Saccharomyces cerevisiae S288C: one gene and its partners. Changing the gene in region 2 together with the main gene of any one other region gives a genetic interaction. Each region holds a gene or a part of one and is shown on either strand. Other genes may lie near its edges.

Region 1 (3,516 bases), on a different chromosome or scaffold from region 2:
TATGTATGCAGTTGTTGAGATAATTCTTGGGCTCTATTGGAATACCATGAGCCTGCATGTGTTGCTGGACGTATTGACATGTTTGAAAAATTCTATTCTTTGCACTGTAGTCCACCTAAGCCACCGACTAGGACCACTTCACTTAAGTATCAGTCAGACTTTCCTTTGAAAATATATCAGTGTGTATCCGCATGTTATCTGTTTTGTTGAAAATCACATGAGTGGACGGCCCCTTTGTCTTGTCTTAGTGTTCCCCAATGATTTAAATGCAATTCCGAAGGAAAGGGGGGAGCCTCATATTATTACAGCATCACTACCTTTTGAGGTAAAAATATCTCATGTGAAAAAGATAAATTATAGAGAACCGGCAGGGCATGCTCCACTGACAACCCCGTGGTAACAGAAATTAAATTTTGATTATGATTAAATGGATTGTAATATTTATAATAGCCAAATGTACAAGGTGTATATTGCAAAGAATATGATATGGCAGGATATACGTATTTGTTCTATACAAAATTTTCTAAAACAGTATGACACTTGAAAACACCTAGAAAAATTAGGCGCGGCAATGATTACTCGTCGTCTGACTCATCCTCATCGTCTTCAGAGTCAGATCTATTATCTAATTCTTTGCTTTCTAATAGAGCTTGTAACTCAGCGTCTTCAGTAGCAGTGACAGCCTTTGGTGGCATGGTAATGTTGCAAACACCGCCGTATTTTGTAATAACCTCTGTAATTTTTTCAATAGCGCTTTCCAGTTGTTCAATACCTTTTTGCTTATCCAAGGCTTGGGTGGTCAAAACATATAATGGGGCGGCGACTAATTTAACTTTAACTTGCATTTGTTCTGTGGACATGTCTTCAGCTGATTTTAATGCGTCTTTAATGGCATCGATACCTTCGTAACTAAAACAAGACACTTCAACATCGGCTCTAATCTTTACAGCTTGTGGTGTTAATCTCTTGGAGATATAGTTCTTTAATTCATCTAAAACATCTTTTGATGGCGGTTCAATACCTTCCCAAACAGTTTCGTCAATGATGGATAGTTTGAAAGCTTCGTAAGCGTGACCAAATTTTCGACTTAATGGCCAAGCAATGGTCTTATATAGTTCTTCCAAAGGGATTTGGAATTTTTCGGCACAGTATCTTAAAATGGAATGAACAGTCTTAGATTTTTGGTATTTTTCTTCACATTTAATGATATCTTCAGAAGAAACACGACGTTTGGACAAATCAATATAACCTTTTTCTTTGTCGACACGAAGAACAACGGCGACATCATTTTTACCAACACGAATTAATTTTTGGATTGACCTAATACGTCTACGGGACAATTCACTTAGTAGAATCATACCTTCAATGTTGTCATATTCTAACAATTTAACATAAGCACCCATTTCAGCAATCTGCTGGACGTTAACCATGACGATATCGTCAATTTCTGGGTATTTGTTTTCATAAAATCTGCAATGAGAAGTGGACATTATTTGGTGTATTATAGAAGGTGCGTGAGGCAGCAGAAAAGACACAAAAATATGAAGACAAAAACTGATTAGTAAACAGATTGCACTTTACTCTTTAATGACCTAGGAAATAAACAATGGTTGAAAATTTGTAAATGCGATTTTATACTACTATTTCATCAGATTTGTGCTTTCTCTTCTTCTCTTTTTCGCCTCTTCGAAGAAAAAATTTTTCTCCGACTGCGGGTAAGAAAAAACGCTCATAGTTTTTCTACCAGCTGTGACAAGAAACGTATTTTGAGCTGAACGATGAATGCTCACTTTTACATATAAAACTTAATTGCATATCTATGTGGAAATTATTCCTTGTTTTATTTAAATGTCAATCTTGACCGTCTCTGCTTCTAACGTTTCCAAATCCAGTAATATTATCATCCCAGTAGAACTGAATTCAGGGACAGATATTATCTTTATGTTCTTACCACCTATTTCCACTACTCTTGTTCCAAAATATGGCTGGTTTGCCACAATGTAAACGTGGGGCCACTTATCCAATACAAATGGATCCTTATCAGTGTACGGATAACACCATAAGGTATCAGGTGCGGTGGGCGCGATGTTTTGCCATTTCATTGTACATTCCATAAGGTCCAGGCGATGCTCTATATCGTCTTTGAAATCATTACTCTCGCCCTCCTCGACCTTGTTTTCACTTTCTCCGTTATCATTTGATGGTATTACGTATTTACAAATATCATTGATATTTTTGCCTGAAACGGCTAGAACGTCTACGCCATTATAGCTAAACTCATATGGGTTGGTCACTAAATTCAAAATTTCTTTGTTAGAACCGTTGAAGTATGATTCTAGGGACTTATCAAACAATGATTTGTGGAAAGGCTGTTGCGGTAGAGATTTGTCACTTGGATCATTGGTTCCGGGCATAATATCAACAGATATAGATGGCAAAATGTTGTGTAGAAATTTACTGAACTCAGTTAGAGAAATCATCAATTCGTCTTTGTTCACGCTTTTAATGTCGAAGTCAACAGAGTTGCCGCATATCAGTAATCTACCAATTAGAGAAATGTCGTCAATTTTGTTATTGATTCTCCCCATCAAAAATTCTCTCAAAATCTCCAATCTCAATAGCCTATCAGGTGATGTATTATTGAGGTTTAACCCAGAAACAAGAGCAATTTTTCCCCTGGTGGGGCAGGTAGCAATTGGTGCAGGGAAAGGATTTTGTGGTAAAGGAGTGGGGTAGCATATGTCTAAAACTTGAAATGTCCCGGCTTCAGCTTCCATACCCAGTATACCTACAACAACACCCGTGATGAAGGGTGTAGACCGAATAAAATCTCCCACTAGAAGCACTCTCCCACTTTCATCTTCGAGCATAATTTCATCAGAACCACCCTCTTTATCAGTATAACTTTTAGTTAAATCTGGTGCACCATATGTATCATTGATCACTTCGTCCAGTACGTTTGGTTTATATTTCATCTCGCAATATATGGATCCTACGCACCAACATGGTTGGTTTCCCTGAATATCTAACACTTTGTCCTTTTTTAGAACTAATTGGCCATTCAAGGTAAAGCCCGCATCCCATCTCTTGTCACATTCTTTTAAGACGCGTTCTCTGAAAGTCTTTAGACGGTATTGATAAATGTGGTAGTACTGAGAACCGTAGTCACGTTTTTTATAGCATAGTTGGAATGGATTCGATTTGTTGTAAAGATTGTCGTCAACAATTCTTACTCTCGTTCGTGGTTGGGACAAGTTTTCATCTTGGAGACTTCTATCCTCGTTGAACTTTGTTAACAATGCGTCCATTGCCCTTCACTTCCATTTTTGCAGGAAAGATTCAGCTATAGTTCGCTTATTGCAATGGGATTTCAAAAATAGTTTATATTTTAACTTTTGAAATTAATCAGACGCGTCTGATTAATCGTATAACATGATATAAATCTAGAGTTAGTATTGGCGGCTATTTTGCTTTTCCTCTGGTTTTCCTTTCCCTTTGACACCCTTTTTGCCACTT
Region 2 (3,356 bases):
AGGAGAATCTTTATTGATGGCACTAAGGGATATCGCATTATCCTCGGGTTCAGCCTGTACATCTGCTTCCCTAGAACCTTCTTATGTTTTACATGCGCTGGGTAAGGATGATGCATTAGCCCATTCTTCCATCAGATTTGGTATTGGTAGATTTAGTACTGAAGAGGAGGTCGACTACGTCGTTAAGGCCGTTTCTGACAGAGTAAAATTCTTGAGGGAACTTTCACCATTATGGGAAATGGTTCAAGAAGGTATTGACTTAAACTCCATCAAATGGTCAGGTCATTGAGTGTTTTTTATTTGTTGTATTTTTTTTTTTTTAGAGAAAATCCTCCAATATATAAATTAGGAATCATAGTTTCATGATTTTCTGTTACACCTAACTTTTTGTGTGGTGCCCTCCTCCTTGTCAATATTAATGTTAAAGTGCAATTCTTTTTCCTTATCACGTTGAGCCATTAGTATCAATTTGCTTACCTGTATTCCTTTACATCCTCCTTTTTCTCCTTCTTGATAAATGTATGTAGATTGCGTATATAGTTTCGTCTACCCTATGAACATATTCCATTTTGTAATTTCGTGTCGTTTCTATTATGAATTTCATTTATAAAGTTTATGTACAAATATCATAAAAAAAGAGAATCTTTTTAAGCAAGGATTTTCTTAACTTCTTCGGCGACAGCATCACCGACTTCGGTGGTACTGTTGGAACCACCTAAATCACCAGTTCTGATACCTGCATCCAAAACCTTTTTAACTGCATCTTCAATGGCCTTACCTTCTTCAGGCAAGTTCAATGACAATTTCAACATCATTGCAGCAGACAAGATAGTGGCGATAGGGTTGACCTTATTCTTTGGCAAATCTGGAGCAGAACCGTGGCATGGTTCGTACAAACCAAATGCGGTGTTCTTGTCTGGCAAAGAGGCCAAGGACGCAGATGGCAACAAACCCAAGGAACCTGGGATAACGGAGGCTTCATCGGAGATGATATCACCAAACATGTTGCTGGTGATTATAATACCATTTAGGTGGGTTGGGTTCTTAACTAGGATCATGGCGGCAGAATCAATCAATTGATGTTGAACCTTCAATGTAGGGAATTCGTTCTTGATGGTTTCCTCCACAGTTTTTCTCCATAATCTTGAAGAGGCCAAAACATTAGCTTTATCCAAGGACCAAATAGGCAATGGTGGCTCATGTTGTAGGGCCATGAAAGCGGCCATTCTTGTGATTCTTTGCACTTCTGGAACGGTGTATTGTTCACTATCCCAAGCGACACCATCACCATCGTCTTCCTTTCTCTTACCAAAGTAAATACCTCCCACTAATTCTCTGACAACAACGAAGTCAGTACCTTTAGCAAATTGTGGCTTGATTGGAGATAAGTCTAAAAGAGAGTCGGATGCAAAGTTACATGGTCTTAAGTTGGCGTACAATTGAAGTTCTTTACGGATTTTTAGTAAACCTTGTTCAGGTCTAACACTACCGGTACCCCATTTAGGACCACCCACAGCACCTAACAAAACGGCATCAGCCTTCTTGGAGGCTTCCAGCGCCTCATCTGGAAGTGGAACACCTGTAGCATCGATAGCAGCACCACCAATTAAATGATTTTCGAAATCGAACTTGACATTGGAACGAACATCAGAAATAGCTTTAAGAACCTTAATGGCTTCGGCTGTGATTTCTTGACCAACGTGGTCACCTGGCAAAACGACGATCTTCTTAGGGGCAGACATTAGAATGGTATATCCTTGAAATATATATATATATATTGCTGAAATGTAAAAGGTAAGAAAAGTTAGAAAGTAAGACGATTGCTAACCACCTATTGGAAAAAACAATAGGTCCTTAAATAATATTGTCAACTTCAAGTATTGTGATGCAAGCATTTAGTCATGAACGCTTCTCTATTCTATATGAAAAGCCGGTTCCGGCGCTCTCACCTTTCCTTTTTCTCCCAATTTTTCAGTTGAAAAAGGTATATGCGTCAGGCGACCTCTGAAATTAACAAAAAATTTCCAGTCATCGAATTTGATTCTGTGCGATAGCGCCCCTGTGTGTTCTCGTTATGTTGAGGAAAAAAATAATGGTTGCTAAGAGATTCGAACTCTTGCATCTTACGATACCTGAGTATTCCCACAGTTAACTGCGGTCAAGATATTTCTTGAATCAGGCGCCTTAGACCGCTCGGCCAAACAACCAATTACTTGTTGAGAAATAGAGTATAATTATCCTATAAATATAACGTTTTTGAACACACATGAACAAGGAAGTACAGGACAATTGATTTTGAAGAGAATGTGGATTTTGATGTAATTGTTGGGATTCCATTTTTAATAAGGCAATAATATTAGGTATGTAGATATACTAGAAGTTCTCCTCGAGGATTTAGGAATCCATAAAAGGGAATCTGCAATTCTACACAATTCTATAAATATTATTATCATCATTTTATATGTTAATATTCATTGATCCTATTACATTATCAATCCTTGCGTTTCAGCTTCCACTAATTTAGATGACTATTTCTCATCATTTGCGTCATCTTCTAACACCGTATATGATAATATACTAGTAACGTAAATACTAGTTAGTAGATGATAGTTGATTTTTATTCCAACATACCACCCATAATGTAATAGATCTAATGAATCCATTTGTTAGTTAATAGTTTAAATGTTTTTATCGGAAGAGGTTTTGTCATCACATCAGCAATGTTCTTCTTGGTCTCGATGTAGTATACGTATAAATTATTACCTGATACTTCATCTCTAAGTCTCATTGCCTTTGTGCCAAAAAATCTGTTTCTAAATTTCTCTTCATTTGTAGACTTAATTATACTGATCGTTGATCTACTATCAGTAAGTAAGCCTTTAATAATTGGTTTCTTGTTAAGTTCTTGCACAAGGTGACTGAGGTTATTCAATAGCGGAATAGCTTCACTGACTGCGTGTATTTCTGCTTCTGTAGTTGAAGTGCATGTTAACGAAGCCTTTGTCGACTTTCCTCCAATCACTTTTCCGTTGAGTAGGAAAATGTTACCAATTTGTGACTTGTAATATGGTTGGTTACCATATGAAGCATCGCTTATTGCGACTAGTTTATTATCTGGCTTGGTAGGTTTGTTTTTGTGCCATATTAATTGTTTATCTCTAGTGTCCCACATGAATTGTATTAACTCATATGTCATGTCTAAAACTTGCCTAGAGGGGAATAGTATATGTTGAGCAAGTGTGTTGATGTAGTATAGTAAGTCAAATCTAAATTTATATCCAACATATGAAGCTAGACCAATCAACTTTTGCATTTCATGTACTTTCTCTTTGTATTCATCTTCATCTATTTCTAGT
Region 3 (4,156 bases), on a different chromosome or scaffold from region 2:
TTGTTTGTAGCTTTGCATTGGCCTTGTTGGTCTAGTGGTGTAGGCGCCCTTCAAAAGTTGCGTTTCTTGGGTGGGAGAAGTCCGAAAAATGCGTATCCGAGTGTACAACGGTTTTTTTTCAGGGACAATATGCCAAGGAATACCGTAAGCAACGGCTGCGCTAATACATCCATTAAAAATATCTCTCCTTGCTTAAGGTCTCACACCCAAAATGACAATGAGAGTGCTATTTTAGTTGTTCATCAATTTAGTATATACCAGCTCCCACAGGACGACGATTCTGACCCTTTCTATTTAAATAGCTCCTTACATCGAGAAGATCTCTGCAGCTAATCAAATCAATTAATATTTCAGATTTGTCGCGATTTTGAAATATATACTATAGGTTGTTATCTATCATATGCAATGTTCTGCACGTTATTTACTTCGATCTGATCTTAAATCAACTCTAAAAAAAGAAACCGATAAGTCCCTTTAACCAACCAAAGCCGAGGGAGTGACAACATGAAAGTGGGTTATTTACACGACATAATCATATTGTCGAATAATATCAGTCAAGCATCATGTGAGATCTAAGGGCCTAAAAGGAGAGCTTTGTAAATGGAGCAAAGCTCTTCGAGAGATTCTTGACTACCAACAACATTCTTTGTTGAAGCAACAACAATATTCATCCCCTTTACATTAGTCGAACAAACACCCAAGGAAAATGCTTGGTGCCAGGATCCTTGAAATTGGCCAAATGCCAAATCGCATATAGAATATTTGGCATCGGGCTCCTCTAACTGATTAAACAGACCTACATTGCTTAACAATGTACCTCCGCGTCTTTTCCCGATGGCACGATCGCACATTACCTTGTCAATGTTCACATATTTTTGAACGAAGCCTTGTATATTGAACCCTAAGCCATGGAGATGCTTTTTATTTCTTAAAGCTTCCGAAATTACTTCATGGTAGTGCTCAATAAGTGGCCAAAAATTTTCTTTGTTATCATTCATGTCAAATTCGCTTATCCAGGGGGTGAAGTCAATAAATCCAACGTTAGCGCCATATCTGTACATCTGTCTCATTTCATCATCATCTGGTAGTTGTGAGCGGCAATCTGCGGGGATAAAAATATCCGTAAGCCATTCGAAGTTCAATGGTTTGAAAAATTTACCCCATTTATGAAGAGATACAAACCAACAAACATGTAAAAACGGAGTGATAGTACACTTACCTTGGATATTTGATTTAATATTTGCTTTAATCGCTTGAAATTCTGTTGGTGAAATATTGATGATCTCGGTGACAACATCATCGGTTTTTTCCACATCATCCATTCTCATACAGACACCTTTTGAAGAAAATCTCAAATGATTGTAGATGAAACCCGAAAGAAGTGACTTCGGAATAAACAAGTACGGTGGTCTAAAGTCTATCACCTTTTCGATCGGTTCTGGAAGTTTCCTCAATAATTGGTAATCCTCCTCGTACTTGAAAATGTAATCTAATTTTTTTGGTGGAGTTTTAATATTATTTAATTCGTCTCTTAAATCATGAAAAAAGTGGATCGAAGACCGACCATCAGACATGCAATGATTAGATACAAAGATAAATTTTTTCCACTTTTCTGTGTGCTCTTCTGGAAGACAAATTAGCCGCCAACTCGGTCCTGTTGGTCCAAAGTAAGGAATAGTCAAAGTGGTAGTAAGTTTAAAAATTTTTGCAGTATAGGAACCCTTACTATTTTTGAATTCTTCTAATATTTGCTTCATTACTGCACTGTACTCAGGTTGTTCATTGAGAACCACACCACTCAGTTTCAATTCTTGTAATACTGAAATATAATCATGCACTGGATGTGGCCGTGAATAGTATTCGGAACTGCGATAATAATTTTCATGATTTGGCCATCTTGTTGGTAGAACAATATGTAAAAGAGTTGGATTTTTCAGGCAGATTTCCCTCAAAGCTAATGTGAGCTGATCCCTAGTACAGTAATCACTCAATTCTCCATATGTGCAGAAGTTTCGATATAAGTTTTGTCTGTTGAGAGCAACATACAGATCTTCAACAGATCCCATACGCCGAGCATGCCCATTCTGAATCATCTCTTTCAGGCATTCTTGTTGCACGGGGGCCTGATTTTTCTCATCGATTTCATTCATGAGAGCTGATAAATTGATGGTATTTGTGATACTGATGAAGTGCCGTTTTTTATTTTCTTGTCTCGAATTTTTGTTGGGTTGGCTTCAAAAAGACGCTTCCAGAGATCCATAAAAAACAATAGGATTATATTCAGAGTCCGCTCAACGCGATGACAATACCAGGCCAAAAAATGATGTGCGGCAAAAAATATAAAAACCGTAAATCGCAAGCCAATGAGTAGTCCTCACACGCTAGATCTATATATTCGGAAGTGAGAAGACCATCGAGTGCATTGAACCTTAGCTCAATGTCCAAAAAGTCAATTCTAAGGGTGGAATAGTCCTGTGCCAACAAATGAAGCTACAATTTTCTGCTGCCTGGGTCCATAAACCCTAACCTTACTTCTTTGCATTTCTTCGGTTTGCACGTGATCTCAATTGATAATTCCCAATTCTGATTTTACTTGTCAAGTACAAGTACTCTAACATAAGCTTACCACTTCTTAATTATCCGGGTGTCAGTTTATTTTATAAACACGGTAATATTTTGATAATCTTTGGCAACTTTTAGGAAATACTCCTTTACCTATATACATCGCGACCAAAATTAGCAATCTTTTACGATGAGTACCTCAGAAAATACTGTTGAATTCTTTCAAGGGGTAGCAAAACTGTCCAGAGCTTATATCTACCTGTGCTCAAAATACAGTTGAAACCACCTCTTCCTACAGTGGTATAACATATGAGAGAATAAGCTATTAACGGTTGGTCGTTAACACCTCAAAATTGTATATTCCTGTAGTTCACTGTCAGTAAACTGAGATTGTTTATTTGTGCCATTATACCAAATTTAGCACCCTATGTGGCAATTTTTCAGATTTGCCACGCTTTTGCTCTACTTAAATGGAATGCAACAACAAAACTTTGTTTTAGCATCGCGGGATTGAGGATGAAGAGAATACTTATGCATCTCGTCTTGAAATACTGTCGCCCAAACTTCTAAATACGCTTGATTATACCATAAAATTGTCCACCCAAGATGGAATGTCATTACAGGAATATTTATGGCTGTCCTCCTTATCTTCACATTTGAAGGGAGAAATAGAGGGGCGAAAAGAGAAACTATTCGCCGGAAACTTAACGGTAATATTATAGATGTGGGGCTTGCAGTTACCTTTTAGCACCCAACTATAAGTGTATCACACCATTATTAATGAGAAAGTCTTAACATTCCAGGAGGTACAAAATATGACAATCCTAGAAACTCTGTTTGCAGTGCAATGAGTCCAAATTTTTTTTTAACTAAGAGGATGCCTCCTTCGCAAACTGTATAGTTTTCCATTTTCTTCTGCCATTTCATCTTTGGAGTAACTATTATTTCGCCCCTTTTGTTTGCTGCATATCGCCCCGCTCTCTGCATACACGATTGGATAATGACCAAAGCAAGGTTTAATACGCCCACAGTTAGATATCTATAATTTTAGAGTACGATATTCATCATCATAGGCTGAACCTTGCCTTTCCTTGCATTCTTTATTCCCATTGAGGTATATTTTAAAATTTGTTCGGAGGTAAAGAAGGATAAGCTTTTCTAGTAATTTCCCTCCTCGATCGGCCTCAGATTTCCCGTCATAAAATATACGCGCCATGGAGAGATTTAATGACATAGATGTGCCGCAAAAGCATACACAGCGTATTTTCTTTGAGTATTTAATAGGTAAGCTAAGTTTCGTAGCTCGTTAGTAATATTACTCTATGGATTCTGTGCCACTTCTTCAAACAGGGCGCGAAAACCTTGAAGAAGCAGCGCACTTGATGCCCCTAGTGAGAGTCACGTGACGGTTATCCCATTTAAGGTATTCCTGTTGCGACCCCTCTCACACAGATATATCTTGCGGCTAGAGATAGGTTGTGATTAGGAATAGATCTGTAGATGTCTAGAGGAACGGCTAATGATTGGAAACGTCCGAGGAACATGAAGAAAGACGTAAAGTGGTAGCAATTCCGCGCTTGTAACTTGCGTGGCA

The links.
Region 1: mutations in LEU2 (region 2) and SUI2 impair growth when combined (synthetic growth defect), as found in Saccharomyces cerevisiae (one study listed by BioGRID).
Region 3: of LEU2 (region 2) and ATF1, changing one suppresses a phenotype caused by changing the other (phenotypic suppression), as found in Saccharomyces cerevisiae (one study listed by BioGRID).

What each region holds. Positions count from the first base shown.
Region 1 is NC_001142.9:448,994-452,509, reverse strand, and holds SUI2 (translation initiation factor eIF2 subunit alpha), read right to left. Parts: upstream 1,491-3,516; coding exon 576-1,490; downstream 1-575. Other genes in the region: MHO1 (Mho1p), read right to left, coding at 1-80; DNA-directed DNA polymerase delta subunit POL31, read right to left, coding at 1,845-3,308. UniProt on the Saccharomyces cerevisiae protein: eIF-2 functions in the early steps of protein synthesis by forming a ternary complex with GTP and initiator tRNA. This complex binds to a 40S ribosomal subunit, followed by mRNA binding to form a 43S pre-initiation complex.
Region 2 is NC_001135.5:89,710-93,065, reverse strand, and holds LEU2 (3-isopropylmalate dehydrogenase), read right to left. Parts: upstream 1,743-3,356; coding exon 648-1,742; downstream 1-647. Other genes in the region: NFS1 (cysteine desulfurase), read left to right, coding at 1-289. UniProt on the Saccharomyces cerevisiae protein: Catalyzes the oxidation of 3-carboxy-2-hydroxy-4-methylpentanoate (3-isopropylmalate) to 3-carboxy-4-methyl-2-oxopentanoate. The product decarboxylates to 4-methyl-2 oxopentanoate.
Region 3 is NC_001147.6:1,044,220-1,048,375, reverse strand, and holds ATF1 (alcohol O-acetyltransferase), read right to left. Parts: upstream 2,151-4,156; coding exon 573-2,150; downstream 1-572. Other genes in the region: YOR376W-A (uncharacterized protein), read right to left, coding at 3,025-3,180. UniProt on the Saccharomyces cerevisiae protein: Major alcohol O-acetyltransferase that uses acetyl-CoA to synthesize acetate esters from various alcohols, producing ethyl acetate, isoamyl acetate, isobutyl acetate, butyl acetate, hexyl acetate, heptyl acetate and octyl acetate.